Pelodiscus sinensis: one gene and its partners. The protein of the gene in region 4 interacts with the protein of the main gene of each other region in a pairwise test. Links are inferred from orthologs where the notes say so. Each region holds a gene or a part of one and is shown on either strand. Other genes may lie near its edges. The genes, in order: SRSF11, C8H10orf88, MYLIP and LNX2.

Region 1 (7,035 bases), on a different chromosome or scaffold from region 4:
ATTTCTGAGATTGCTCTTTGAAATACCTAGAAACTACACACCAAGTTAAAAGAATACCAAGGTTACAACTTTAATTCATGCAATAAGAAATTGGGAAATGTTAGTATTAAAGTTACTTGTGTAACCGTAACTTAGCTTATTTATTTTAATTACACAACCATATCCTATTTTATCCTCAAAAGCCCTGCCTCATTCAGTGCATAGTATGGCTCTGTTCTGGTGATTAATCAGGGGTTGGAGAGAAAAGTTGGGTGTTACCAGTACTTCTATTCCTACAAACCCATCTCTCAGTCACTCTATAAAGCTGGAGTACTACAGAGAAGAGTATCCTTCATTAAAGAAGTGCTTACTTTGTGGTCTTAATGAATATTCTTTCAAAGTCTATCTGTGTGTAATGTGTAACTTAAAATCCATTTCTGGTGTGTACTCTAACAAAAATCCACCTTAAAATGGACAAAGTACCATTGAGACAGAGTGCCAAACTAAAGAGATTATACGCGTCTCCTACTGTAGTCAAGTGCAAATATATGATTTTGAAATTTTGCATTTCTTTAGTAAGAATGCATGCACCCTACCAATACTGCTCTATCCTGGGCAGATTTTTTTTTTACCTCTGATAGAGACATGATGATTCTGTTTCTCATACTTATCACAACCAATTATATAGGCTTTGACAAAGTATTCTTGTATTGAATGTGGGTGCCTGTGTTAATAAGTGGGGACGAATTAAGAACAACATAGGGGTATACAAAAAACAAGAGAGTTGTTGAACTCTCTAGCAGAAAAAGGTGAAGCTTCAGGAGTTATTTCTAGAAGCAGCTACTACCAAAAGCTATATGCATACAAGCCGTAGAAGCACTTCACTGGTATTTTAGAGACCTAGGTTAAATATATTCAATACCCAGTTCAACCAGACTTTGGGAAAGTCACTCAATCCACTCCATGCCTTAACTTCCCATCTGTAGAGGGGTGGTAACATCCACTTCATACAGATGTCGAAACATAATACAAATTAATGATTGTGAAATGCTCAAAACAATGAAGAAAACTATGTTAACAACCTAAACAGATTTCTCTTGCTAAAGACACTAGCTCCTTGTTATTTGGTGAAAATGACACTTTTCTGGCACTTTAAATAGGATTTTCCATATACAAATGAAAACATTCATGTTTTACTGTATTCCAATAATAAAAACCTATCAACTTGAATCTCTGTGCATCCACTAGTTTTCCTCTACACTACAAATTCTTATTCAAAATTGCATTGAAATGGGGTTCAGATTGCCAGTGTTCATTTGAGGATGCCAAAACCACACACACACACTAAAAAATCCTGTGTTAGAATATATACACATCTATCTAGGATACCTGGAGGATTTGTGGGGGGGAGAGAGAGATGTGGCACAAAGGAAAGTCGCTTTTGCAGTTAATTTTCTTCCCCCCCTCCCCCCCGAACAGCAACTATTTGAAAGTAGGTGAAAAAATGGGTATATTAGAAACCATCTGAGGGAGAGTAATGAGCAGGCACAGTCAAAATCTTTTTATATGAAAATAAAGGCAATCCTGCTTCACAAATAAAAAAAAGGAACAGAAACAGATGGCATGCTGTTTTCAGTTCTTGTATCACAATAAATTAAAAAACTGTAATTATTTAAAAGCTCTCTGAGCATGGATTACAATTTGTGAGTTCAGCAGATCTGATGTGCGTTAAAATAATCATTATGTATATGCATATTTTTGTTAAATATTTGTAAAAACTTATACCTTGTCATAAGCTCTATTTTTCTGTCTAGACATTTCTAAATAGTTGAAACCCTTTAAAAAAAAAACTGCAATCCATTGGAAGCAGATTGGGTGGGGGCATCATTCTCAGTAATGCAAAGCACTGTTTGCTGGTTTTAATTTTTACGAGACTTTAACCCAATAACTGGTTTAAGATTTACTGCCCACCTTGCACTTTCTGTGTGTTAGGGAGAGAAAAAAAATCAATTTGTGAAAAGGGGAAAACAAAAGCTATTTTTGTAGTAACTGCTCGTTAATGGAAACTATCCAACAGGTGAGCGGTGACTCCGTAAGAGAGCAATCCCACCACACGTAGCTCAACACCTGGAGGCTCCGGGGCAGTCGGCGATGCAAGAGGACGTGCATTTAGCCGGGATAACTGCCCATAGGCTCAGGGCCCTCCCTCACACATGCTTTGAAAATTGCTCCGGGAACGAGTGCCCGGCCGTGAGGTAACCCGGCACGTTGCGGGCCGAGGAGGAGCCATGTGAGACAGGCGGGATACGACACTTCCCCCCTCCCCCACACCGCTAACTCTCCCTTTCGGAGGTCTACACTAGCGAGGTGCTGAGGCAGGCTCTGGGGGTTATCACAGCTCCGCGGGGAAGCCCGATCCCGCCGCACCGCCGGCCGAGGCCTGAAGATGGCGAGCTAGGCCCCAGGGCCTGACACTCTCAGCGTGCCTCGGCAGACGGCAGCGAAGCGCGGGGCGGGATGGGAAAGAGGCGGGACGTTGAGTGGGGGAGGGGACGCGAGTATGGCGCGGGGGAGGAAGGGGCCCGCTCCCGCTGGCGGACTCACTCGGGAGGAAAAAGGCGCAGCTCCTCGATCTTGCCCAGGAAGCCGAAGAGTGTCCGCATCTGCTCGGAGCTGGCGCTAGGAGAGACATTGGTGACCTGGATCACGTCGGTGCCGCTGCTTGAAGACATCGCGCTGCCTCCCACTCCAGTGCTACAAACACATCAGGGAAGGGGAAGAGCGCGTTAGGAACCGGGTAGCGTTTTGCTGTGTCCCCTGCCGCTACCCGTCCGGGCACAACCACGGGCCTCGCGCACAAAACAACCGTTGTGGAGTAATAACTGCCACCAGCTGCCCGCTCCAGCAGCCTGCCCGGGCCGTAACTAGTATCCCACAATCCTTTACTGCTCTTCTCTACGCAAGCGCGATCCGCGTACTTCGATGATCTTGCGCAGACGCACAACTCGCCTCGCCCACAGACGCCCCATTTGCGCATGTCCACTGCCTGTACCTCTCCCAAGGACTTGCAGCTATTGCACATGCAGTCAACCATGTCGTGCAGCTCTCGCGCATGCGACATGTTCGCGCCATGGCTATGGAAATACCCGCGCATGTGCAGTATGGGCTGCTGCACTGGGGACTTAGCAGGAGAGGCGTCTGGGCCTGAGGGCCGTTATCCCTGTTTCCTCCTCCGGGCTCGTGACTGAATCCTCGCGGGGCGGAGAAAATTCAGGCAGAGGGGCCAGTCTGGGGCTTGCCTGCGGCTAGAGCGCTCTGAGCTGACGCCTGCCTGAGCGCCCCCTTCTAGGGGCCTAGAGCTGCAGGGCGCTTCCTCTGAATCGCCAGGGCCTGAATCTGCCAGGCGCAGAGCCGCCCCTTTCTCCAGATGGCTCTGAGGGCACCCAGGGAGCTCAGCAGCTGGCAAAGCCTGTTCCTAAGGCCAGGTCTAGGGAAGTAAGAGAGTAGTCGAGAGAACTACTCCCTCCTCTCCCGTCCCCTTGCTGCCCTCTATATCAGAGGCAGCAGGGGGACAGGAGCCGGCTGGTTTCCCCCCCCCCAGCATTGTCTCCATGGTGCTGCCCCCACGCGGAAAGGCAGCAGCCTCTGTTTGTGGCGGCTCAGGTTGGGTACAGGCAGGGACTACTGGACCCAGCAAAAGTTGAGACTGAGCAAACCTGGCTCAGTTCTAGCTTGTGCCAGTTGCAGTCCTAACCTCACTGTGGCTTTGCAATTTAAATGTTGTATGAGCTGGGCTACCTGCACGCCTGGCTCCTACTACATTTAAACTGCAGAGCTGCAGTGGGGATAGCTCCTGGACCAGTGCGAGCTGGTACAGAGTGCCTTCTCTTATCAACTAATCATGTAGCCGTTTGTATCAACTAAATGATTAGTCAGATACCTGCCTCTTAACATCTTTAGTCAATACTAGACTTGAAGGTCAGCTTAAGATACTCAACTCTAGCTGTTTAAATAATGTAGCTGGAGTCCATACTTCTTAAGCTGAGCTTGGCACTATCTTCACAGTGGGAGGTTGACAGGAACAAATGCTCCCATCGGCTTCTCTTACTCCTTGCGACTGAGGAGTACTGGTGCTGACTGAGGGCACGCTCAGCATTCAGTTTAGCAGGTCTTCACTAGACTCACTAAATTGAATGCCAGAAGATGATCTCGGGTGCGACAGTACCTGAATAACAATTTCCCATTAATTTTTCAGTTCCAGAGTAATTCCTTTCTAACATGTATGTTGAAAACAAAATAAATCTGCAACCTGATTTTGCTGTAAGTGAAGTTAATGTAACAAATAAGATTTGCCAACCCCCCCCCCCCCCCCCATATCCATTAACATCAAGGGGTTATGTTAGTAAATGCACTAGAAGCATCCAGACAGAGAAGCAGCTTCTTCAGTATAGGTTGGACCTCCCTGGTTCTGTTCCCTTGGGACCTGATCAGTTGCAAAGTAGTTGGTTGGACTAGGGGAGGTCAATCCTGGCCATCGGCCCCAGCTGCTGGCCATGTTTCCTAACCCCTTGTTGCTGGCCCCAGAGCGCTCAACAGGAGTAAGTATTACCTAGATCCTTGACAGATGTTGGCTACGTCTACATTGGCCCCTTCTCCGGAAGAGGCATGTTAATTTCAAACTTCAGTATAGGAAAATCCGCGGGGGATTTAAATAAACATGGCCGCCGCTTTTTTCCGGCTTGGGGAAAAGCTGGAAAAAAGCGTCTAGACTGGCCCGATCCTCCGGAATAAAGCCCTATTCCGGAGGATCTTATTCCTACTTTCAGGAATATTTATTTAATATGTTTATTTAAATCCCGCAGGGGATATTTAAATCCCCTGCGGATTTCCCTATTCTGAAGTTTGAAATTAACATGCCTCTTCCGGAGAAGGGGCCAATTTAGACGTAGCCGTTCTGTCTAAACTGCGCTTAAAAATCGCAAATGATGAAGATTCTACAACCTTCCTAGGGAATTTATTCCAGTGTTTAACCATCCTGACAAGAAGTTTTTCCTGCTGTCCAACCTAAACCACCCTTGCTGCAATTTTAGTCCATTGCTTCTTGTGCTGTATGCATAGTTTCAGGAATATTTTTTTCTTCCTTCTGTAACGTTCTTTTATGTATTTGAAAACTATTATGTTCCCCCTCAGTCTTCTCCAGACGAAACAAACACAGTTTTTTCCCCCATCTTCCCTAATGGGTTATGTTTTTTAGACCTTTAATCTTTTTTTGTTACTCTTTTCAGGAGTTTCTGAAATTTGTCCATATTTTCTTGAAATGTGGTGCCCGGAACTGGACACAATACTTCAGTCAGGCCTAATCAACATGGGGTAGAATTAAGAATTCTGGTATCTTCCTTACAATACTCCTCTCTAATACATCCCAGAATGCTGCTGGGTTTTTTTTGGGGGGGGGGGGGTTGCATTTTTTAGCTTGTAACGAAATGGGCTCATCGAGCCTATGAAATCTTATGCCCAAATAAATCAGAGAGACAGTTTTATGAATGGCCAGTTTTCAGAGTCATGCATGTTGCTCTCAATGAGGTACCCTTGCATTCCATGTGCTAGCCTGTAACACTCCCTTCCCATCCTTCAATACAAGCAGGGCTCGTCTACATTGGCCCCTTTTCCGGAAGGGGCATGTTAATTTCAGCCATCGTAGTAGGGAAATGCGCGGGGGATTTAAATATCCCCCGCGGCATTTAAATAAAAATGTCCGCCGCTTTTTTCCGGCTTTTAGAAAAGCCTGAAAAGAGCGTCTACACTGGCCCCGATCCTCCGGAAAAAGCGCCCTTTTCTGGAGGATCTTATTCCTACTTCAAACTTTGACAATTTGAGAGACTCGTGTGGCTGCCCTTGACTCTCCTCCCTCTACATTCTAGGCACTCTGATAGAGGATGCTATGGAACTCTGGGAGGAGGGAACATAGATCTGCAAGGCCGTAAGGGGTGCCTGTACAGGAAGGAGTCCTGGAGTGACACCATGCAGTCCATCACATTTGCCATGGATGACAGCACTCCCTCCTAGTGCTTCACTTCCCGTTTCCTGAACGCTCTCCTTGCCTGATGCTTTGTGTGCAGTTCCTCCAGCAAGCATATTCCTCCACTTGCTTATGTGCTCCTTGTCCAAGTTGTCAGATTGCATTTGCTTCCTTGAACATCTCTTCCCTAGTCTGTTTGCACCTGCACATTTGTGCCAAGCAGGCAGCTGGCAGGTCTGGGGAAATGCGCAGCTGTTAATATTGGTTCCTTTATATGTTACAAAGGAACTATTAACTCAGTTGGGATATTTAAACTGTTTGGGCATGGGTTTGCCATTTTGTTTGTGTTTAAAACAACAGGTGAACCTCCATTTTGGACAGACTTCTTCCTTGACCAGGGAACAGAATGGGAAGATATCACTAGGCAATGATAGTCCATAAATACTGGGCACTCAGGGTGCTTTGGATGCTCTTTTTCTTTTCCCTGTGACTTCACTGAGAGGTTGTGGTGAGTGCTGCCTCCCTGAGTCACAGGCCTTATAAGCAAAGTGCAGGACAATGTAGCACTTTCAAGACTAACAAGATGGTTTATTAGATGATGAGCTTTCGTGGGCCAGACCCTCTTCCTCAGATCAAATAGTGGAAGAAAATAGTCACAACCATATATACCAAAGAATACAATTAAAAAAATGAACACATATGAAAAGGACAAATCACATTTCAGAACAGGAGGGGGATGCGGAGGAGGAGGGGGAGGAAGGAAGGTAAGTGTCTGTGAATTGATGATATTAGAGGTGGGGAGAGTGGGATGTCTGTGAGCTAATGGTATTAGAGGTGATAATTGGGGAAGCTATCTTGGTAATGGGTAAGATAGTTTGAGCATTTGTTCATTCCTTCTCGGAGAGTGTCGAATTTTAACATGAATGACAGTTCAGAGGATTCCCTTTCAAGTGCAGATGTAAAAGGTCTTTGTAGCAGAATGCAGGTGGTTAAGTCATTGAGAGAGTGTCCTTTCTGGTTAAAATGGCAAGAAACTG
Region 2 (7,888 bases), on a different chromosome or scaffold from region 4:
GCTTCATACTGAAATTATTCTGAATAATACTCATATTGAAAGACTGAACCAGATTAAACAAGCTCTTATCTTGCCAACACTTAAGCACATGCTTAAGCTTTATGCATGTGGGTAGTCCAAATGATTACAATGAGACTACTCACATACGTAGAGTTACAAATGTGCATGTTTGTAGCATCAACACCTAAAATTCTCATTGTGCACAAATTGTTAAACCTTTAGAATACCTCTAATTAAAAAGTGAGTTAAGAGCATTTTCCCTCCCTCTTGCACAAACTTTAACAACAACATTTTAAGACAAGAGAACCTTGGTTCAAAATCCTCCTACTTTTTAAAGAGAATATTCACACCACATCTCAGGTTAGCAAAAACTTAGCTATCATCTTCTGACTGTCAGACAGTAATGCAAAATAACCCATTGGTCAATTTAAAACAATTTTTTGGAATTTCCTACCTTAATTCTGCAAGAAGTGGTGGAGTACTCCAATTTAAGATATTTTTTGTATAAAGTAATCTTATCATTTCTGTTAGAAAAATAAAATAAATGAGCTGTGACGTCTATGGTAAATGCTAGCTACAGGAACACAAAAATAATAGCTATTACGCTGATAATGGGGGAGGAAGAAGTTGAATGCATTAGCTTTCAATGGAATATGTTGGGTTTTAACATTAAAATTCAGTTCAGATTTAATCATATGATATACATACACACAAGTACACATTGTTCCTTTTTTCCCCCCACACATGGTACCAATAGGATTTTCTTCTAGTTTTGGCTTAACTGACTAGCTGGTTCTTAAGTTAGCAAAAACATAGCTGGCCAAATGTTTATGTACTGCAATCAAAGTTTACCCCCTTTTATTTTTTCCCCTCCAAACTCCATAGGCAAATTCTTGTAGATTACGTAATAAGAATATTGACATTTGTTTTCATTCCTCTTTGCAGTCATATACAAAAGAACTTTAAAAAGGTGTTCCTAGATGATTTTTAGAGATTACTGCTGAGTTAAATAATTTAACTCACTGATAACAGTAGCTGACAGCCTTAATTATAATATGACTCAACAATGACAGGCAGGGCTCACCTGAGGAGTGAGAAGTGCAGTTTCTATGCCCACTCAATCCTTGGACTCTGCTGAGACTGTTAAGGTAGCACAAACTGTACTGGTAGTTTTTGTGATGCGGATATCTGACCACTAAAAACCTCAAACTGAGACGAATACCGAACAGATAATAGGTTTTGGCCTTTAAGATTCCGAGACTACATTTAAATCAAGTCTAAGAGCAATATAACTCATCACCAGCCCCCACTCCAACCAGATAGTTTCCTTTTCAAGTGGTTTTAATAAAGCAAAATGAAGACCCTTACCTCTCATTCTGAATGGTGCAGACATTCTGTCCCCTACCAGTTCCATAATATTCTTCTCCTACATATACTTCCATGTTTCTTGCCCCACTTAAAATTCCAACATAGACTATTTCCTCCGATCCATGAGGATCACACTGCAGATACAGTAAGCAGGGAGTTTCAGTTTCATCATTTAAAGGTCTCTCCAAAACCACAGAGTTCTCACTAGAAATAGAAGAAATTATGTTTAAGTAACTTAATTACATTCTATTTAACCTGGGCTTTCCAGCTAACACTCGTTTGTTTTTAATTTAGAACTCTTCTTGCTGACTCACAGAAAAATAATTAAAAAAACCAAACCAAATCCTCCCTGATGTGGCCCCTGACAGAGGAGAAAGACTCTCCCCACATTCCCCTGCACACCACAGCCTACCAGGCCTACCCTAGTAGACGTGTGGGCCAGCACCTTGGTGGGGCGGGGTTGCGGGAGGGAAGGCTAGCGTGTCTGTCTTAGAGGCCAGAACCAGTCAAGTCAGGGGCCAAATCCGGCCCAGGCCTGAGGTTCCACCCCCGATGTAAAGTGACTCAGTTTTTAAGAGCAGTTACATAATCTATATCTTTGTAAGTGCAGTATTTACCACTTTACTTTCAAAGCCCTATCCTTGATGAAGAACACGCAACACGTACAGACTCTGTGTTATGTTTACAGTGCACATTTCACAAACTTCAAACTTGCTGTGGACCTAGTTTGCAGTGAAAAATCAAAGGCTGTGCCACAGCTAAAGAAAGTTTTGCTCACTTAATACTGTTGTCAATGTCGGGGGAGGGAGGGGGGAAGAGACCAGTACACGTGTGCTATCAATATATTTAGTTATACACAGGGACAGGCCGACCTTGAAATCCACTCCTCAGTGCCCCTGATGCTCCAGTTCACACAGGCCATGCTCCGATTACCATGTAATCCGGTCTCGTTATGTCTCTTTCCATTAAAGGAGACAGCTCACTCAAACAGCAGCAGAGGCATTTGCCTCTTGCGCTGAGGGAAGGGCTGCAGCCCCCGCGAGGGGCCAAGCTACACCTGCGGGGACACAGCGACCCCTCACTGCGCGCACAGGTGTCTGCCTCCCGCCTCAGCAGCGCCCCGCAGCCAGGGGGCAGGCGTCAGAAACCGGCCCAGCCGGGGCCCACCGCACCCAAGACGAGGCTACTGGGGACTCCGCGGGGAGGAGGGGTTCAGACTCGCGCCCTCGCCCGGGATCGAGCCTCCTTTCCTCGCAGGCTGTGAGTCCCGCGGCGTTTCCGGGCGCCCCTTACCCGCTTTCGGGCGGCGACAGCGCCTCACCGCCGCTGGCTCCCTCGGGAAGGAGGCAGAGGATGTCCTCCAGCGCCTCGGGAGACGAGGCGGACGCGCACTCCCAGGAGCAGCCGGCTGCCACGCGAGAGCGGCGGACGGGGCCATTGGCGGCGCGGAGACCATCGTCAGCTGCCTCAGCGCCCGCCAGGCTCCCGCTCGCCATCGCAACCGCCCCGCTGGCTGCCAACCGTCCCCTGCGGGCCGCCGGGCAGAACGGCTTTCCACAGAGAACATGCTCCCGGCCGGGCACCGTTCCGGCCGGAACGCCCGCCTTTCAACGGTCATGAGGCGTGCGCGCCCGGCCGTTGATTGGCTCGGAACCCTCCAGTTCTTCCCCATCGAAGGCGTCCAGCCCAGGGGCGCAGGCGCACTTTCCCCCTGCTCCCGATTGGCTGGTAGGAGTAGAGCGGCGCGTGCTCAGAGCGGCGGTAGAGCTCGCTTCCGCACCTGGCTGGTGCGCGCGAGTGAGTGGCGGTGGGGTGTGAAGCGCCCTGGGGGAAGTAGCTGCGGGTAGCGAGTGGCTGGCAGCTGCACCCTCCTGGGCAGAGTATCCTCTAATTTCCCCCCCCCCTCCCTGTGGGGAAAAGAATTCTGACATGTGCACCAATAGGGAGACGGTGCGTGGCTCCTCACTTCCCTATTGGTGCACATAACAAAAGTCATGTGGCTGGGGCGGAGCTCAGGGATTGGATTGGGGGAAGGGGCTCAACTGGGGCAGAGGGTTTTGGGGGGGCGCCGCGAAAGGGCTTCAGTTGGGTGGGTGTGGGCTAGTAGATAGTCAGGGAACGAGGAGCTCAGGTTTGGGGCAAAGGGTTGAGGGTGACTCCAGCTGGAAGAGGGGGTTGGCTTTGGGGTGATGCTGGGGATGAGGGGGTTGGGTGCAGGCTGTCTCGGGGATGCGATGGAAAGGGAGGACTCTGCTTTCTGGCTCTGCAGCAACACCTCGACTGGGGTGGGAGAAGTGTCTCTCCTAGGGCCTCAGCCTGACAGAGGAGTTCCTATCCCTCCTGACTGGAATAGATTGGTGCTGAGTGTTTGCATGGCTATGCAGTTCAGAAGGACTTTAAATACAGGGTTTGGGATTACTAGGTCAGAAGAGCTGTTGGGTGGAAACCTTACAACCCTGAGCTCCATTCTGTGAAAGTCCCCATAATACTAACAACATGGCCTCAGCCCAGGTTTTCTTTGGGGGGAGGCTATATGCTCCCTCACTGGGCATAGGCACAGACCTTGGGAAGAGGGAGGACATAATGATTGTAATGCTTAAGCCTTGCACCTTGAAAGATTTTTGTACATACCTTGCATATCTCTGCAGTTCTGTTTGCCTTCACTCAAAAAAGGTATATTGGCATTAGAAAAGGTACAGAGAAGGGCCACTAAAGTAATTAAGGGTATGGAACAGTTTACATAGGTGGAAAGATTAAAAAGATTGGGATTACAGTCTGTCTCCAACTAACAGACCGATTACGGACCAAGCAATTGGTCGTAACTTGGTTTGTTCGTAAATCGGACCCCATTGATTTACATGTGACCGCGCTGTTCATAAGCGCGGATCGTGTTCATAACTTGGGGTCTGCCATTTACGACACTTTTGGTCGTAACTGTGAACTGTCGTAAGTCGACCGTTCGCAACTCGAGGACTGGCTGTATTAAGATATTAAAAGAGGGGGAGAGGATATGCAGAGATCCATAAATCATACCTGGTATGGAAAAAGTATATAAGGAAGCATTATTTACCTTTTTATATAACACAAGAACTAGAGGTTATCCAATAAAATTAATAGGCAACAGTTTTCAAAAAACAGCAGGCAGTGTTTCACACAAAGAACCATCAACCTGTGGAACTCTTTGCAGCAGCATGTGAAAGCTAAATCTATCACAGGGTTCAAAAAAGAACTAGATACATTCATGGAGAATAGGCTCTTCAGTGACTATTAGGACGGTCGGGGATGGTGTCCCTAGCCCAGAGGTGGGCAATAATTTTAGTGAGGGGGGGCACTTAGTGAATTTTGTTATGTGGTCATGGGCCAGCTCCACCCTGGAAGGGTTTGGGCCTGGGACAGAAGGGGCAGGGCTGGGGACTGTCAGCTTGCAGGGGCATGGCCAAACAGGAATATGGATTCGCTTCACACAGAATCGATTAGGGATAGTTGCTTTTATTAATCTCACTATGTCACTACTATAACAGGGTTAATGTTGCCCTATGGTTACACAGCTACTACAAAGTGACACATCAATAAGCACAGGCAGAGCAATGCATAAGCGAGCAACAGGCACTTAGAAATGCTTACTCCCCTTCAGTCTGCGGGAAGTCCTGTTCCTTGTCACCTCGCACCAGGCCACAGTGGACATAGCTCCAGCTGAGGGAATCCAGGGACCCTCCAAGGTCTAGGTCCCTGGTGAGACTCACTTGGCACAGGATTCCCTACACTAGTTACACTACAGTTGTTTACTGGGTGTGCACGTAATAGTGATTATTAACCAAAATGGTCAGGGACACAGCCCTATGCTCTGAGTGGCCTAAGCCTGGGAGTCAAGGGCAGGATTGATCGCTCAATAATTGCCTGTTCTGCTGTTTCCATCCAAAGCATCTGGCATTGGTCACTGTTGGAAGAGAGGATACTAGGTTATATGGAGCATTAGTCTGACCCACCATGGCCTTTCATATGTCCTTATATATATTTTTTTATCTTTAGGATCCTTCCTCATATAGGGACTATTCTATCTTCAGCTGAAGTCAGTATTAAAACCTCCCTCTACTTCAGGAGCCTAGCATCAAATCTTTGCTCTCTAAGGCTGTGTCTACACAGCAGCATTATTTTGGAAAAACTGACGTTATTCCGAAATAACAAAGAACAAGTCTACACTACAAGCACATCTACACTTTATTTTAAAATAATGTTGAGCCGGAGGTCTTCTTACTCTGACTCCTGTAACCTTCATTTCATGAAGACTAAAGGAAGTTGAAGGAAGAGTGTTCTTCCTTTGACTTCCTGCTGTGTAGACAGCGCCAAAAGCCGAATTAAGCTATTTCAACTTTAGCTACACAATTGGCGTAGCTGAAGTTGTGTTGCTTAGTTCAACAGTAGCCCTGCTGTGTAGACATGCCCTGAGGCTCTGATTGTGTCATTATGTAATTTGACAAAGCAAATTATTGTTGCTACTGCTGTTATATAATTGCAATGAATTTTATACAAACAATAGGTATCCTGCAGGCTAAATGACCCAGAGTCAATCTGTAGAGACATATTTGAAAAGTGTGTAAATGGTAATTAGGTCCATCCCCTGGTAATTAGGCTAGAACTTTGAAGTGTAATATATATTCTTTGAGAATTGAGGTGATACTAATTGTATATATGTACTTATATCTTGTTATCTGTTAGCCATATAAACAGATTGTTCCTGTCTGTCCCTACAGTTATTGGTTCAGAGATCAAAAGGAAATATTAACATTTAAGTGAACTGTAAGCATAATAATATCTCTGAATTCATCATCTTTTTTTTAAATGTACAGCAAATGGTGGAAAACTGGCAAATGCCTTATGTTAATTCTCACAGCTATCATGGGTGATACTTAGGAAACAGGTCTATTTAAAAATCTCAATAATTGCCTATTGTTTTTCTGAGCTGTCAAAGAAGACCAAGAACTATAAGAACGTCTGGGATCCAGATTTCTTATGATCTCAGATCTGCTTGAAGCTTAAGCCCTAAATTCTGAGATCTCCAGTCCTATCCTGGATTCACCATGAACATGGTCATTGGATTTATAACCTATGAACTATTTCTGAAATAACTCGTTGCAACTACAGGTTTCACCACCCTAAACTGGGACTCTCCAGGAAAGGAGGGCCAACAGCTAAGAGCCCCATGCATGGCAGGGCTGGTAGTAGTGGGGCCAGGTCCTCAGCAGCCTGGTGGTACTGCTGCCCCACAGCAGGGACAGAGCTGCAGCAGCTGTTAAGGCTGTTCCCCTTTCTAGCACTTCAAGCATAAAAGGTGGGAGCTTGTAAGAGACTTTAAAATACCCTGCCACTAAAGGCGTCTGCTGAAGAAACATAGATATCGGTAAAGAGAAAAAAATCTCTAAAACCCCTAATAAGAACAAATTCATAAATCACAAATGCAATAGGTGTCTTCCTGGTTTGTATGAAGTCCTTGTTTACATGGGTATTCAGAGAATGTGTCTGTGCTCTATCAGTATATGGAAAAAATGAATTTCAGAATTCCTAGAAAAATTGCATAACAAAAGTACCACTTTATCTCAGTAAAGAAAGGAAAGAAGACTGTTCTGCATAATTTTCCAAAATGATTTGTACAGTTCATCTAAATTGAAATAAAAACTTTTTCTTTTTTTTTTTACTTAGGACTAAAATGTGCATATAAAAAGTCATCAAGATCATTTTGCTTTTGGGAACGTTAACGGTTGACTCAAAATATGATTTATGATGCCAAAGTTTATTGTTAACTATAGCATCATTGTAATTACATTCTGTTGCATTTCTGGTCAATGTTTGTGATACCTGTGTATTCAAAGATACAATATTTTTATATTTTTCTGAAATAAATATCTTACAGTAAAAAATAAAGAACAATTACAAACTGAACCCAAGTAATCTGCATTTGTCTTATAATCTTATTATAAGATGCATTTTTTAAGGTGGTTCATATGAACTCTATAACTTAGCTTATATGGTGCTTTGTTTTCCTGTGAACGTTCGAAAGTAAATTGTTGCTGGTCTCTGAATTCTGGACTTTGGTCTCAAAGTTTCGTCTTGTCATCCTTACGAAGGGAATCACAGCTGGCCTTCTCCAATCAGCGTTTACAATCATGTTATACTGGGTTTGTTGTAAGTTGTCCAACCAGTTTTTGTCAAATGCAATGTGAGAAATTTGACTTCCCTCTTCTTTGGGAGTGTTTGCTGACATACCTGAAGTACTTTTTCAATGCTATTTATTGTTTGCCTTGACAACAAAAGGTTCTTGTTTTTCTAGTTCCTTCATTTAGGGGAAACTGCTGGTAAAAACGCCATCCTCAGTAACACCGTGTTTCTGAACATCTTAGTAGTTGTGTTTTCTCAGATAAACTTAACTATGTTAAAATGCAACTTACTTTGGTTTGGTTTCGGGCTAATATTTATTGGAAAGCAAGTTCATACAGCAGGTGAGCTTCAGTTTTAATTTTTAGTC
Region 3 (7,776 bases), on a different chromosome or scaffold from region 4:
CGGGGGACCGGACTTGATGACCTCTTGAGGTCTCTTCCAGTTCTATTTTATTCTATTCTATTATTCTAAAAGTGGAGTAAAATGCACTTATATACTCTAATCTCTTTATTAGATGCTATTTGTAATAATAGTGCATTAAAAAGAGGATGCTAATTGTGTTCCTTTAAAATTTAAGAAATACAGTACAAGTAATTATAAAATTAATATTGGATAGCTGACCACACAAACATCACAGATATTTTGTGATATGGGAGAAAACTGATCATCTCCGATCTATCTCATTTACTGTGTAAATGTCAAATATTAAATGTGTCGTCAGAATCAGGTCTGTTGTTCAATACATATTGGTCAGCCATGATCATAGAAAGTTTTTAATAGTCAACTGCTTGTATTGTGCATCCTATTTTTATTATTTTTTCAACTTAATGCCCTTTGTTCCTGGTTTTTCTAAATGGTATTTTTAGTTTCCCAGGAAGATGAAGGTAAATGCTGTGATATGTCTAAAAATAAATTTTGGTGTGCTTAAGTATCAAAATACCAGTAGTCATGGCTTGAGGATTAGAGATTTGACTTATCAAATGATGTTAAACTTACATTAGTGAGGGCTAACATTAAGAAAGATTTTTGTCATCTGGATAATAATGGCTGCTAAGATGAAATCCAAAAGCATTAGCTCAGCATTTCTAGAGCATGAAAGAACATTTTAAAGACATGAAAATAATCAATGATTATTCTATTTTGAGAACACTAAGGAATGTGAAATGCTCAGAAATTAAATTGGTGACCTGGAAAACAAGCTCAGATTAAAAGGTGGCATGCTTTTCAGAATTCCTGAAGATGCAGCAGCAAGAGGAGAACATGTTTTTCTGCAAGGAACTTTAAAAAGGTGAAGATGACATAAGAGGAGCAGATTCTACATGCAGAAATAGACTGTATATCACATCATCTGCAAGAATTTTGCAGTAATCAATTCTGGTACAGGCATGTACACCTCTCTCCTACGAGGTGTAGCTGAATTCTGCATCTACCTTGCTCAGTATATGGGTAAAATAACTAGAAAAGATCGTGAAATGAAATGTATTTCAATGCTGTTAGGGTAGAAATTACACCCATTTAAAGAAATACTTGGGTATTTTTTACACAATGCTTGATTAACCTATGCATCCTATTGCTATATGATATTACTGAGGCTAAAAGCTTAACATGATTAAGAAAAGGCTTAGAAAGGATTAGAAATTAATGTATTAGAGCTGTTAGGTACATAAAATAGAGTACAAAGAAAGGGAGGGGAAAAAAACTAAGGGATATAAATATTGACAAAAATTGTCAGCTGTTTGGAGCAAGTATCTTTTTGTTGTTGTTTTTTCTGTATGTGTACAGTATCTACCACATGTACCCTTGATATCAGTCTTGAATCTCCATGTGTAATCATAATACAAATAGTAATAAATGTTCATGCTTCAGATATAAATACATCCCTTCCAAATTCTTGGTTCATTTCGGTCAATTTCACTGTTGTAGGATTTTTTTAAATAATATATTTCATTATTGCAGCTATTTAAATATAAAATTTCACTGTGTTGTAATTGAAGAAGTTGTGACCCAAAAAAGAGTTGTGTGACAAGTAAGGTTGACAATTTTCTAATTGCACTGAATGTCTCTACCCCATCGCTTCTCCAAGCCCCTACTCATTGACTCTGCCCCTTCTCTTTATTGTTCTCTCTCTCCAACCCTCACTCATTTTCACAAGGCTGGGGTATGGGGTTGAGAGGTGGGGGATGTGAGTGCTCCACTTGGGAGTCGGTCGCTAAAGTGGGGCTGAGGATATTGAATTTGGTTTGCAGGAGGAGGCTCAGCATTGCGGCAGGGGCATGCAGGGTGCATATGGGGTCTGAACTCTGGGAGGGAGTTGGGGTGTGAGAGAGGATTCCAGGCTGGGGCAGGGCTGGGGTTCAGCAGGGGATTCAGGGTGCAGGCAGTACTTACCATGGTTCCCAGGAAGCAGTCACTAGGTCTCCGCAGCCCCTAGGTACATGGGGGCCAGGGAGGTTCTGTGTACTGTCCCTTGTGCCCACAAGTACCACTCCCCCAGCTCCCATTTGTCACAATTACCAGTCAATGGGAACTGTGGAGCCAGCACTCGGGGTAGGGGCAGTGTGCAAAGCCTCCCTGACTTCCCAGGCACCTAGGGGCTCCAGGGATCAGGCACTCGCTTCCAAGACCTGTAGAGAGTCAGGGCAGGTAGGGAGCAAAACTCCTCCTATAGATTTTTACAAAATGAATCCTGGAACTAACATGTAGTTTGCAAGCCTGTTCACTCCGTTTGCATTTTGTAGTCCTTTCCCTCGTCCTACATATGTCTTATATATTTAAACATTTCAAGGCAGGCAGGGATTGTGTATTACTCTGTGCAGTGGTCAATGGGGACCTGTTCTAGGATAGCTTCCAAGAATTACTGTAATACAAATTAATAATAATGGTCAGACTCTATACTGATGGATGGAGAACAAATACTCGGATAGACAGAAGCAGATGAGCCATGAAGATTAAACTGCAGCAAGAACATTAATGTCCATCCATGTGGTGACATTCCACCAGTTAGTTTCTTCTTTTTCCTTTTAACCTGAGGAATTTTTTCCAGAATCCCATTTTTCCTCTCTCAACTTTTACTCTTATCAGTCTGCCTATTCCTGTTCACTATGTGCTGCCTATTATTCACCTGCAGCACATCTATGTTATATGGAAGCTCGGTGCTCCAGAGGTTGATTTTCGGATGTCCGATGTAGCAGATCAAGTATGGACCCATACATTGAACGCTGAGAGCAGCTCCAGCTGACATCTGGTAGTCTCCTTTTGTGATGAGTAAGGGAAGTAGATGGGAGAGTTTACTCCCATCAGCCTCCCGTTGTGTGGATGGTTCAGAAATGCGATATAAGATACGTCGACTCCAGCTATCTAATTAACACAGCTGGAGTTGCATATCTCATTTCAACCTTCCGCTTTAGTATAGACCAAGCCCTGGAGTGCTACCTCTTTCTGGGGCCTCCCCTGTCTGCTGATATGTTCCTTACTTTCATACTGGTTTATACTACTCCCTACATAAGTGAAAGTAGCTAGAGACTATTTTATTTCATACATGTTCTGTGCCTTTCTCATACTTCTAGGTAATTATCCAATGTAGGTGTTTTTCCTCTGGCTAGCTCACACTATTACAATAGTTCATATTTCCTGAGTTCCAGGAGGAGACCAGCCCACCTTCCTTTCTGCCCTGATGCAGCAATACAGTGCATGGAGGTTGGTGAACTTTAGTCTGTGACCACTTTTGCACACAGTTGCTCCATCTCCTGTGCCATGTTCTCAGTACAACAGATGGGATAATCAGGAACAAAGGTGGAAATAGGAGATAACAGTGTTAATCTTAATATTGGTATCTCAAATTATTTTCTATTCACAGCATGAGTTGAGTCAGCTAAGCCTAGAAATAAGATATTAAAATGCATGTTATAATTGTATATTGTACTCTGAAATGAATAATTCTGAGACCGTCCTTACTGTTGGCTTTTGCCTCAACTCCTCAATCATAGGAGGAGTAAGAGGGAACAATTGTACCAAGGCCTCAAGCTCAGGAGTCCAAGTGAGAGCATCTGTGTAAATGAAGCAAAATGAGAGGGAATGGGGCAACAGCAAACATGATGCACTACTGTCCAAAATTTCTGTTGCTGGGCCTGCCACTACATCCAGCCTGGTCACTTTGCACAGCATGAATGTTGCCAGACGCCTGTCAGTGCAGCCACATCTCCAGACCCACTGGCTACATCTAGACTGGCATGATTTTCCGCAAATGCTTTTAACGGAAAAGTTTTTTTGCTTTTGCGGAAAAGCGTCCGTGCCAATCTAGACGCGGTGTTGCGCAAGAAAGCCCCATCGCCATTTTCGCAATCGGGGTTTTTTTGCGCCAACAATACTGCGTTGTCTACACTGGCCCTTTTGCGCAAAAGCATTTGCGCAAGAGAGCTTTTGCCCGAACGGGAGCAACATAGCATTTCCGCAAGATCACTGACAATCTTACATGAGATCGTCAGTGTTCTTGCCGAAATTCAAGCGGCCAGTGTCAGTGCCAGTCTAGACACAGCCATCAGCAGAGATTCTCAATTCTATAGCAGATTTTGAGTTAATTTGGGGAAATTCCTGTTTAGTCCAGAATGGAAGTGTCACAAAGGCTGTTATTCATGAACAGCTATTCCAGAGCATCACCTGGGGGGAAGACAAGCTTTTAGGTGATGTCTACATTAAGACCTCTGTGCCAGCACAGCTGTCAGCACAGCCAGGTAGGCTGCCACACGGGCGTTTTCTGTCGGCTAGGAAGGCCACCACGCTGAGCAATATTTGCTCTGGCGTCTGCCGCTCGCATCCACTGAGCCAGCTGCTCCCTGCTAGAAGAGATGTAGGGCAGCCTGGCTCTGTGCATCCTCACCTTCAGCGCCTGTCTTTGGTGGGCCCGGGCAGCCCCTCCCCACGTAGAGCGCAGCACCCCTCCCCCCCGTGCTTCTCGCCGTGACCCAGCAGGGGGAGGCAGAGAGCAGCAATAACAAACCGGGGCTCCCCTGCCACCGCGGCCGCAAGAGAACCTCACTCTGATTGGCGACGGCGGCTGTTTGTCGCGAGCAGCGGCGCGTTGCGATTGGCTGGCTGTTGCCGGCCGGGTGCGGAGGCGGGGAGACGGAGGGGATATATGGGGGTGCGAGCGGCCGCCGGCCGGAGCGCAGCAGGCACTGGAGAGGGGGCGGCGGCAGCGGCGGCGGCGGCTAGACGATCACGAGTGGCCCGGGGGCCGCAGCGGGCGGGGTGCGCGAGGCGGTGGATGCCTGCCCTAGCCATGCTGTGCTATGTGACCAGGCCGGACGCGGTGGTGATGGAGGTGGAGGTGGAGGCCAAAGCCAACGGCGAGGACTGTCTCAACCAGGTGAGGCGCCGCCCCGGGAATACCGCCGCCGCGCGCGCGCGCCTCCCCGACGGCCGTTGAAGCCGGGTCCGTTGCAGAGAAGGCGACCGGCGGCCCCTCCCCTTCGCGAAACGGCGGGTGGGGGGCGGGCGAGGCTGCCTCGCGCGCCCTTAACTAACGTTCCCTCGCGCGCCCGCAGCCCTCCGCAGGGCGGCCCCCGCGCGCGCGGTGTCTGTGTCGGGCGGGGGGGGAGCGGGGTCAGTCACCCAGCTCCTCCGCCTTGGCCGCAGAGGCTGCTCGCTCTCCCCCGCGGACGGACCCCGCGGGCTGGGGAGAGGCCCCAGCGCCCCCTTCCCCAGGCGGAGGGGTGAAGTGCCGGGGCCCTGCGGGGCGGGGGCAGGATCCAGGCTTCTGCCACCCCGCCCCCCGCTCCCCTTCCCCTCCCCCCGCTCCCCTCCTGGCACCCCAACCCGTCGCCTAAATATTAGACACGTGGCCCGGAGAGGCGTCCTGCGCCCCCCCCCCCCCTGAACTGGCCGACTGCTCTGCTGACTCCGTGTGGGCCCAGTCGGGCCTGGCTCCCTCCACCTAAGCAAGTTTTCAGAGGCGCCCTTGGTTTCCTGGGTGGAGAGGGGGCTGCTGATGCACGTGAGAAACGCTGTGCTGGGTCAGACCTATGGGCCACCGAGCCCCATATCCTGTTTTCAGGCAGTGACCAGTTGCCAGGTGCTACAGAGGGAATGGACAGGGCAGTAGTTAAAAGTTCCCTGCCATCCAGTTGTAGCATCTGGCAGTCAAGGGCTGCTAGGGGACACCTGGTCTCTGATGGAGTTGTATCTCTGACTCCTTTGGAAAATAGCCACATTAATAGAGCAATCTGTGGTGAACTTGCCTTTTTTTGTTGTTGAACCCGGTTGGCCTTCACACCATTCCTTGGCAGTGATTTTCACAAGTTGATTATGCCTTGTGTGAGGAAATACTTTCTCTTTGTTTTTAAAGCAGCTACCTTTTAGTTTTGTTGGGTAACCTCTGCTGCTTGGGTTGGGTAAATAACACTTCTGTACTTCACCTCACCAATCGTGATTTTATAGATCTGTCATCTCACTGCTTAAACATCTGTTTTCTAAATTCAGCATCATGGAGAATCAGGTCACTCTTGCTTAGGTGCCCAAGTTTGGTGGGGAGGGGGAACAGTGATAACTCTGATGCCTCCTTTTTGTATTGTCATTTCATATACATGTCTGTAGGTTGCCAGCTGGTCAGCTTCTTGAATATTTTGCTTAGTTTTGATGATTTCTTACTGGCAAGTGAATCAGTAAGATGAGTTTATTATTAGAGTGTTTGGGTTTTGTAGCAGGTGTACTGAGCAGTTTTTAAAAAGTTACTCTCCTGTGTTTGGGTGATGGTTTTGGCATTATGTATGTTATAGATCCACTTTTACAATACTTCCATTTTTGTTACAGGTTTGCAGGAGGTTGGGGATTATAGAAGTGGATTACTTTGGGCTTCAGTTCGCAGGCAGTAAAGGGGAGAGTTTATGGCTGAATTTGAGAAATAGGATCTCCCAGCAGATGGATGGATTAGCTCCTTACCGGTTGAAACTGCGTGTCAAGTTTTTTGTAGAACCACATCTTATCTTGCAAGAACAGACAAGGTAAGATTAGTTTTGAGTGAATTTCATTTTACGTTTTCATGGTCTGTAATTTAATACTGTAAGGTAGCTGTATGTTGTCTCTACCAATCATTTAGTACTTTTTATATCCAGCTTTCTTGCTTTTCAGCTGTATAGTTAGCTTGCTGTGAAAATGGTAACATCATTTTAAACAGTTCTCACTCTCTTTTGGAGATTGAAGAAGAATAGTGCTACTCTAACTTACTCATAATATGAGAGCTCAGAACAGCATAATTAATTCCATACATATTTAATGCTACAAGTGAAAGAGAAAATACAAGAGCTAGCATGTGATATTTATATTGAGTTACATGCCCGATAGTAACCTCTCTCTTCAGCGTGTTACTGCAGGTCATTCTCAACTGCTTATGCAGGAAGTGTTTTCTACCACAATGCTTAAACTTGCTAAACTCCTCTTAGTCTAGTGTCAGGTTACAGCAATTTCCAGCAGCTATATATTCTCTCTTAAGCTACAAAAGGAACAACTGTTTTGTCTCTTCTGTAAAAGACCTACTAACCAAGCACAATAACTAAATTGATGATAAGTTTTAGAAAAATGCATAATTACCAATTTTTTGAGTTTCAAACTCCAGCAACAAATAGTAATGAACCCCTTATTGATTTTAATTTGCACTAGAAAATGTCTCACACATCTTCAGTGGATAAGTCAATAATTTTCTTCCTTTTGAACTAGTAATCTAAAACATTTGTATATACCAGTCAGCTATATAGGTTCTGGTGTTAGATGGGGATCATTAACTGGTGAAATCTGTCTGAAAACAAATACAAAATTATGATATTCCATTACCTTAATGTGTTCAAATTTATTGTGACCACACACATCCCAGGATTGTCAGGTATTTCATTCTTCATTTTACTAGCTAATTAATTTGTGCTTTGTGGTTAACATTCTGATCCGAATGCTTATTACATAGCAGAATCACATATTTAGCATGTACTTTTTAAACTCCTTATGATGTATGAAGATGTGACTTCTTTGTTGTTGTTTTTAAAAAAATGTGCTTTGTGATAGAATTTCAGATTCTTTCTGCCTTGGAGATTTTTAGCCATTCAGAGAGATTTAGTGAAACTGCCTTTGCACAGCAGTGCAAATACTACTTATAGGTTGAACCTCTCTAGTCTGCACTCATCCATGGTCCAG
Region 4 (7,017 bases):
TGGGAAACCCCCCTTCATACCTTGCCCTGCCTCTTCCCCCAACCGATGCAGCCTGGTGTAGAACCAGGGAAAGGCCCCCATGCACTCAACAGCAGTGGAGGAAGTGGAGCAATGTGGCCCCAGCTCACTCTGCTCCCCTTGCCCCATCACTCTGCTGGTGAAGGATGCCTAGGGATTCTGGCCCCACTGGCTGCTATCTGGCCCCCTGCCCGTCCCACCCATGGCATTTGGGGGGCAGATGCCCCCTAGTGCCTTCCCACACATCACCTCTGCTTCTGCACATAAGCAAAAAACACATCAGTTTTAGCACGTGTAATTTAGGGTTAAGTACAGTCTTTAGCACATAATGACAATTCAGGTTTGATAAGAGAATTGTTGTAGTTCTTGGAAGACACCTAGTGTGCACTTTCATACAGAAAATATCAATTTTTTCCCTCTTTCGGTGTGTTCAGTACTGCAGGGGAGCACTAGGAAGAAAACTCACTTCTCTACAGCATAAGAAATGGCAACAGCCAAGAACAGGAGGCAAGGTAACCTCCCTTCTTTCATTATGCATTTGCAATGATGACACTGTCTTTGCTTCTTTCTAGCCTCAGAATATGTAGGTTTTATTGCTTTTGTTTTGATTTCCCCAAAGGTAATAATGGATTATTTATATTCAAATAAAAATTTGAATGTGTACATAGTCAAGCTGATGGGCAACAGACATATTTAGGCAGCCTCTGCTTGCAATGCAGGATTTAGCTAAATCTTCTCACTGTGAAAGGTATGAAACATGGGGGAATTCACCATCTCCCAGTGAGAGTGATGGGATATGCAGTCTGTCATAATTTGAAGAAACACAAAGGAAAATCACCATAAACATATCTTAACACTCTGAGTAAATATCCCAGACCTAAAAAAGAGCTCTGTGTAAGCTTGAAGCTTGTCTCTAGTTTCTCACCAACAGCAGTTGGTCCAATAAAAGGTATTTTCTCACCCAGTTTGTCTCCCAGTAAGGGACAGACTCACCCAACCTACTAGTTTCTAACATGGAGAATGGGCTGAGACAACTATGGGGAGTAGCAGGGGGAAAAAATCACTATTTTTCCACACCCAATCTTTAATTCAATTGAGAACTAATGTAGATTGTGGATACTTTTCTTTACATAAATAAAGAAGAAAACTTTAAACTAATTCAGAACTTCTCAGGTATGCCTATTATTAGCCTCTATAAATGCATGTACTTTTAGTACAGTACTATGTGGGGACAGGAGTACACCCAAACAAATCAGATTTCAGGTACTGTATCATTTTATGTGTTTGCACAATGCGGCCCTAAACCTGACTAGAACCTTAGGGCACTACTACTATAACATACATACATACATACACACACAATGGTTTTCCAGGGAGAGGGGAAACACAATGGGAGATGGGTGAGGAGCTATTACTATCAACACCCTCCTCCCATCTGCCACTGAGTGGGGACTGGGAGAATTGTACCCACGTAGAGGAGAGAGTAGTCATCATCATCATCATCATCAACAATCCTTCCACACATTCTCCCCCCCCCAAACGTCCCCTGTACCCGAGAGAGGGGCGAGGACCCTCCCTCGCACACAGCCCCTTACGAAACAGAGCTGGGGAAGAGACTGTTTCCCTGCCTTCCGATCTGAGGGACACTCACTTTCTGTTGTCCTGAGCTCAGCCTGTTACTCCCCCGGTCTGAGGTGAGCCTAGCGTAGCTGCCAGTTAACACGAGCACACGGGGGTGGAGGTGTCGGCACCAGCCAGCCCGCAGAGAAGAAGCGGGGCGCCTGGCGAACCACCGGGAACGGCGGCGCCTAGCAGCGAACTTACTCACCCCACCGGCTGCCGCCGCCTCCAGCCCCGGCTCAGCACGGCGCCCGGGTCCAGCTCATCCCGCGGCCGGGGGCTGGCTCCCTGCCCCCGCCCGGCAGCTCCGCCTCCCGCTGTCACCGCCGAGCTCCTGGCAAGAGTCAAACGGCCAACTCCGGGCAAGGACTTCGCCGCGCGCCTCACCTGGGCGGGCCGCCTCCTCCGCCGGGCCGCACCGCGGCCCGAGTGACGGCGCGGCCCAGCCACTCAGCCGCCAGCCGGGGGCCGGGGAGGGGGAGCGGAGGAAGCACCGCAGCCTATGGGAGCTGGGCCGGGGCGGGACCCGGCGACGACGGTCGGGCGCTGGGCTGTCCCCGCCGCTCGCCTGATTCCAGCAGGCGCGCCCTGGGGCAGCGGGGCAAAGGAGTGTGAGGGCAGGAGAGACGTAGAGGCGGGTCGCTTGATAACGGGAGGTAGCGCATGGGAGAGGACTGAGTGAGGGGGGAGAGCGAAAGGACAAGCAGGAGCGCTAGATACCTGAAAGGGAGGGCTTGTTTCTCTTTGCAGTCGCCCCATCCTACCTTACCCCAGAGAGCTGCGACTAGCTACAGGCCTCGCTGCTGGGAACTACGCTTAGCTTTCTTCGCAGGGCGCCCCTGTGTGCTGGGTTACATGCCAGGCGAAGCCGCAGTTGCAATTCCCCTTTACAGCCCGGCGGTTGCATCGTGTTTATGCATCGGGTGCATTCTCACTGCTTGGTCAGTGGCAAGTGAGTCACTGCAATCCCACTCACCAGCCTGCTGCCGCCCCCCGTGGGGATACCCGCGTGATCAGCTGGCAGCCTCTGTAGCATCACTGTGCACAGACTGGGGGGCAAGAGAGAGGCGCCTGCTCTGGGGATGGAGGTTTTGAGTTAACTGTTGGGATTTCGCTCTGGGACACATAACTCAGCAAACCCCTCTGCGCCGGTGTTTGGAGCGGAAGAGCCTAAACACGCAGCAATCCCCAGCCTACTCCACATCTCCAGAGGGGAACCAACACACACCAAAGGGGGTGGGCAGAGCCAATGGGCACCCGGCGTAGCGCGGCCTCCTCACGCCTCCCCAGTGGGAAGAACTGGGGTCGGCGAGGCCACGGGGGACCCGAGCACCCACTTCCAGCACCTGGGGCAGCACCAGGAGCTAGGTCTGGCGGAGGGTGGGTGGGACACGAAATCGCTGCCCGCTCCTGTAGGAGCGGAGGTTCCGGGCACCGCTAGGGCAGGGAGGGTGAGGCGGCGGCAGCACTTAAGAGTACGCGCCGCCCGCTTCCTTTCTAGCTCCGGCTTGCTCCGCCCCTCCCGGGGTCCTCGCAGCGCTCGCCCCGCAGCTCCGCCCCTCGCTCCTCCCTGTCCTCAGCCGCGAGCAGTAAACGGGTCGGGCCTGCACCTGAGCTACTACTGCGCCGGTGTCGGTGGCCTAGCGGGGGCGGCGTCGCATCGCCCTTCTTCCTGCCGCCGCCATGGAAGAGGACCTGGAGCTGGAGAGGTGAGAGGCCGGGGCGCGTGTTCCCGGGCACCGAGACAGGGCCCGCTGTGAGCTGCCGCGCCTGCCTGGCGCAGTTGTTCCCTTCCCCGGCCCACTTCAGCACCGGGAGATGGGGGCAGAGGTCAATGCAGGGATGAAGAGTTAGAAGGGTGGGGGGCGCCTTATCTAGGCAGATCCCTCTTCAGTTTTGAAAGTTTACTTCTGTACGCGCCCCTTGACAACTCCCTGGTGGGATGATCACTCTTGTGCCAGGCCTCTGGGGGACGCAGCCCCAGGAAGGGCTAGTGCTGGACTCAGTAAGAGGCCCATTAGTTATGTCGGTTCCCTCCTTAGACTGGCAGAGGCCAAGCTAATCTTCCTGATTTAGAGCCCGTCTGCTGGATCTGTTGTGGGGCATGATATAAATTATCTGCTTCAACAGGTAATATTTGTAGTGCTTCGGGACCATTAGAGAGCCTTTACAAGAGAAGTGGATCCTATTGTCTGTTCATTGTTTATTGTCTGTTTGTTGTTCATTGGTGCTGATGAAAGTGTTTAAATTTTCCACTTTATAACATTACATGCCATATAATAAAAGTTTATTTAAAAAAGGGGTGGCTTCATTTAAGTGGATGCTTCTGGTTTCACTTACCTAAACATCAAGACATCATGGTTTGGAATATTTGGGAGAACAGGGTTCCCAGTTTACAGTACACAGACTTACACACAGGAGACCTTTGACTTCAGTTTGAGAAATAGAATTGGTTTTCTATTCCTATTACATCAAATATATTTTACTTTTACCTGTCTTAGATTGGTGTTGAACCATACAATGTATATTACCAAAAAAAAAAAAAAAAATTAAGACTAGCTCATTCCATGTACTGCAAGTATTCTAGGATTGCAGAGGCTGCTGTTCCAGTTATAGGAGCCCTTCCTCTACCTGTTGCAATATCATTCCCCTGTCCCAAGACAGTAATCTGATTCCCAAGTGGATGTAATCAGAAGAGTATCTTATCACAGGGAACTCAGATTATTGGTGAGAAAAAATAGGTGTAGTGAAGATACTGCTGACTTCCAGTTGAATTCTGAAATCCTCTATAGGATTGGCTCAAATTACTTCATTGCCTCACTGAATCCCATGATTTGATTATGATCTCCTGGAACAATATAATTGCCAACGTTAGAAGTGAGACTAGTGCGCTCAGAAGACTCGTTGGAAACCTGGCCCATGACTGTGGAATTTGCTTCTGGGAAGACTGAACCTCGGTGTCTTCAGAATAAAATAAAAACTCAACTTTTTTCAAACCTTATTTTGTTAAGGAAAGGCATACTTGTATAAATTAAATTACCCCCCACCCTTATTAAATGAAGAAAAACAGGCGATTTTCTATTTTCACTTTAATAAACTTGGGTTGCATGCCAGTACCTGTTACGGCTGCAGCCAGATAACTGTGGAAGTTGCAAAATTAATAAGCCCTGTTTTGTTAATTGAAACAAAGCCTAATCTCTGACTGTAATTATTATAGTAAACTTGTGTTTACATTGACAGTAACAACTTTCAGGGAGAATAAAATGACAGACACTTTGCATTCTGTTGGAATGAGATCATTCATTCTGCTACGCAAATTGACCCATGTCATACCCAAAAGAATAGTAATAGAGAGGTAGCTGTGTTAGTCTGATCTTGCTAAAACAAAAGGAAAAACTATGTAGCACTTTAAAGACTAACAAGATGGTTTAATAGGTGATGAAACCTCAAGTGCTACATTGTTTTCTTTTGGGTATAAGAAAAGGAAAAACTTTCAGTTTAAATCCAGGTTCATTTAGTTGATTATTCAGACATAACAGACCTGTGTTTTACTTTCTGGTTTGGAAATGGACCAGAAGCACTTACGTTATTGGTAAATCTTGTTGGTGTTTGTTGTGGAATTGTATGAGAGTAATGACTGAAATAACAGTTCTGCAGTATGACTTGTCAACACTACAACTAACCCATGTGTAACAGATTCTCATGTGAGATTACCTGTTAGCAATATGTCTAACAATGATAGCGGCAATGAAAGCTTCTCTCACTGCTTTTCCAGTGTATCTCTCACCCAGTTAGAAAGTCCTAACTCTGTGGTTTCATTTACAAAAATAACTTGTTGCCTCCCCTTTCTGCCTCCAACTGATAGCGTAGATGAGACAAAGATAATATTGTGTTGGCTGAAGTGAAGTGATAATTGGGCCTAAGAGAATGTAATGATCTATTTATCTCCATAATTCTTCAGTAAAACACTTGTCCCCTATGATGTTAAAAAAACAGCTAGTATGGCACGTCTGAAATATCAGACTAAATAAGCATATGTCGTTGTGTCAAGATTTTATTGGAAAAATGTAGTGACCACATTAATTGCTGTAGTAAATCTAAACTAGACCATCATAACTTCTACATGTGCCTCAGTTACAGAAAAGCTATTTTAGGGATTTGTAGAGAGTTTTTAAAATATTTATTTGAGCTGTTTTTAGGTACAGGTTGGACTTCCATTGTCCGGCACTCTCAGGACCTGAGTGGTCCTGAACCAGGGAGTTTGCCAGACCAGGAGAGGCCAAGGCTCCTCTCTGGGTTGTGGGGTCCCTGCAGCCTGGGCTTCCTTCCCAATTGCTGGCCCCCTGCTGTAGCTCCTGGGGTCAACCTCCTCAGGCTGTGGCTCTCCAGCTGCCGCCAGTCATACTTCTATTGGGGTTCCCAGCCAAGGCCAGGGATTCTCCCCGGCCGCTGCTGGCACCACTGCCACCAGGATTCCTGGCTTGGGATTCCTCCCAGCTAGCACCAGCTCTGCTGCCACAGAGGTTCCTGGCTGGGGATTCCCCCTAGCTGGGGATTCCCCCTGGCCAGCGCCAGCTTTGCTGGTGCTGGGGCTCCCAGCTAGGGCCAGGGATTCCTCCCAGCCACCACTGGGGCTCCCCAGGGCTGGACTCCCCACCTACCGCAGGACCAGGGCTCCCCAGAACTCCCCTGGACTCCCAGCTGGGCTTGTGCTCCTGGCCTCTGGGGCTCCCTGGTCCAGAAACATCCATGGTCCTTCTGGACTTAAAATAGTGTATTCTTAAAATTGTACATTTAATGTCTGTTATGGACACTTCCTAGATCTAGAGCAGCCCCTGTCCAGAGTGGTTCAGGCTGGCCGCTACAGCCCTGGCCAACGCGGGCAGAGGCTGCTTCATGACAGCCTCCCCCGTTTCCTACCCCTTCCCGCCTGCAGCCTCTATCCATGGGGAGCTCAGACCCCCACAGCTGCAATATCCCTACTGAGTATCACTGTACTGTGTTCTGATTCGTATTACTGTACCAGTTTTATTCACTTTTATCCTCTTTTTATCCTGGCTCTAACTCACTTTGTTCTATGTTCTGTATTTTTTTTTTTCTTGCTTTAACATGAACTTGGCTACCCCTCTGAAGATTTTAATTTACCAGGAATAATGGATACTGTATTGGGTAGCTCTTGTCATGAGACCCATGCAGAGTCTGAGATTTAAAGCAGTAAATAAGCAGTGACTATAAATACCCTCAAGCTGTAAATAAACTAAGATTTCCCATTCATCTTTGCCACTGCCTATGGCAAGTGTTTGATTGAATCCCCATAACCTGCCCCCTCCCCCCCAATTTCAAATCTTTTCAGCTGGAAGTCAGAGCCTGGCAGTTTCC

The links.
Region 1: the proteins of LNX2 (region 4) and SRSF11 interact in a two-hybrid assay, tested with the Homo sapiens proteins (3 studies listed by BioGRID and IntAct). The link is inferred for Pelodiscus sinensis from reciprocal best matches to the Homo sapiens genes LNX2 and SRSF11.
Region 2: the proteins of LNX2 (region 4) and C8H10orf88 interact in binary tests that used the Homo sapiens proteins (3 or more experiments, as listed by UniProt). The link is inferred for Pelodiscus sinensis from reciprocal best matches to the Homo sapiens genes LNX2 and C10orf88.
Region 3: the proteins of LNX2 (region 4) and MYLIP interact in binary tests that used the Homo sapiens proteins (3 or more experiments, as listed by UniProt). The link is inferred for Pelodiscus sinensis from reciprocal best matches to the Homo sapiens genes LNX2 and MYLIP.

Annotation. Positions count from the first base shown.
Region 1 is NC_134719.1:20,888,719-20,895,753, reverse strand, and holds the start of SRSF11 (serine/arginine-rich splicing factor 11), read right to left. Parts: upstream 3,016-7,035; 5' UTR 2,712-3,015; coding exon 2,584-2,711; intron 1-2,583. UniProt on the Homo sapiens protein: May function in pre-mRNA splicing.
Region 2 is NC_134718.1:55,985,603-55,993,490, reverse strand, and holds the start of C8H10orf88 (ATPase PAAT), read right to left. Parts: upstream 3,020-7,888; 5' UTR 2,865-3,019; coding exon 2,662-2,864; intron 1,573-2,661; coding exon 1,369-1,572; intron 525-1,368; coding exon 455-524; intron 1-454. Other genes in the region: disintegrin and metalloproteinase domain-containing protein 9-like, read left to right, coding at 7,793-7,862. UniProt on the Homo sapiens protein: ATPase that regulates mitochondrial ABC transporters ABCB7, ABCB8/MITOSUR and ABCB10. Regulates mitochondrial ferric concentration and heme biosynthesis and plays a role in the maintenance of mitochondrial homeostasis and cell survival.
Region 3 is NC_134712.1:107,408,080-107,415,855, forward strand, and holds the start of MYLIP (E3 ubiquitin-protein ligase MYLIP), read left to right. Parts: upstream 1-4,757; 5' UTR 4,758-4,861; coding exon 4,862-4,963; intron 4,964-5,569; exon of another isoform or gene 5,570-5,584; coding exon of another isoform or gene 5,585-5,590; intron 5,591-6,405; coding exon 6,406-6,596; intron 6,597-7,776. UniProt on the Homo sapiens protein: E3 ubiquitin-protein ligase that mediates ubiquitination and subsequent proteasomal degradation of myosin regulatory light chain (MRLC), LDLR, VLDLR and LRP8. Activity depends on E2 enzymes of the UBE2D family.
Region 4 is NC_134711.1:300,348,389-300,355,405, reverse strand, and holds the start of LNX2 (ligand of Numb protein X 2), read right to left. Parts: upstream 3,014-7,017; 5' UTR 1,847-3,013; intron 1,821-1,846; exon of another isoform or gene 1,670-1,820; intron 1-1,669. Other genes in the region: protein POLR1D, read left to right, coding at 3,322-3,347.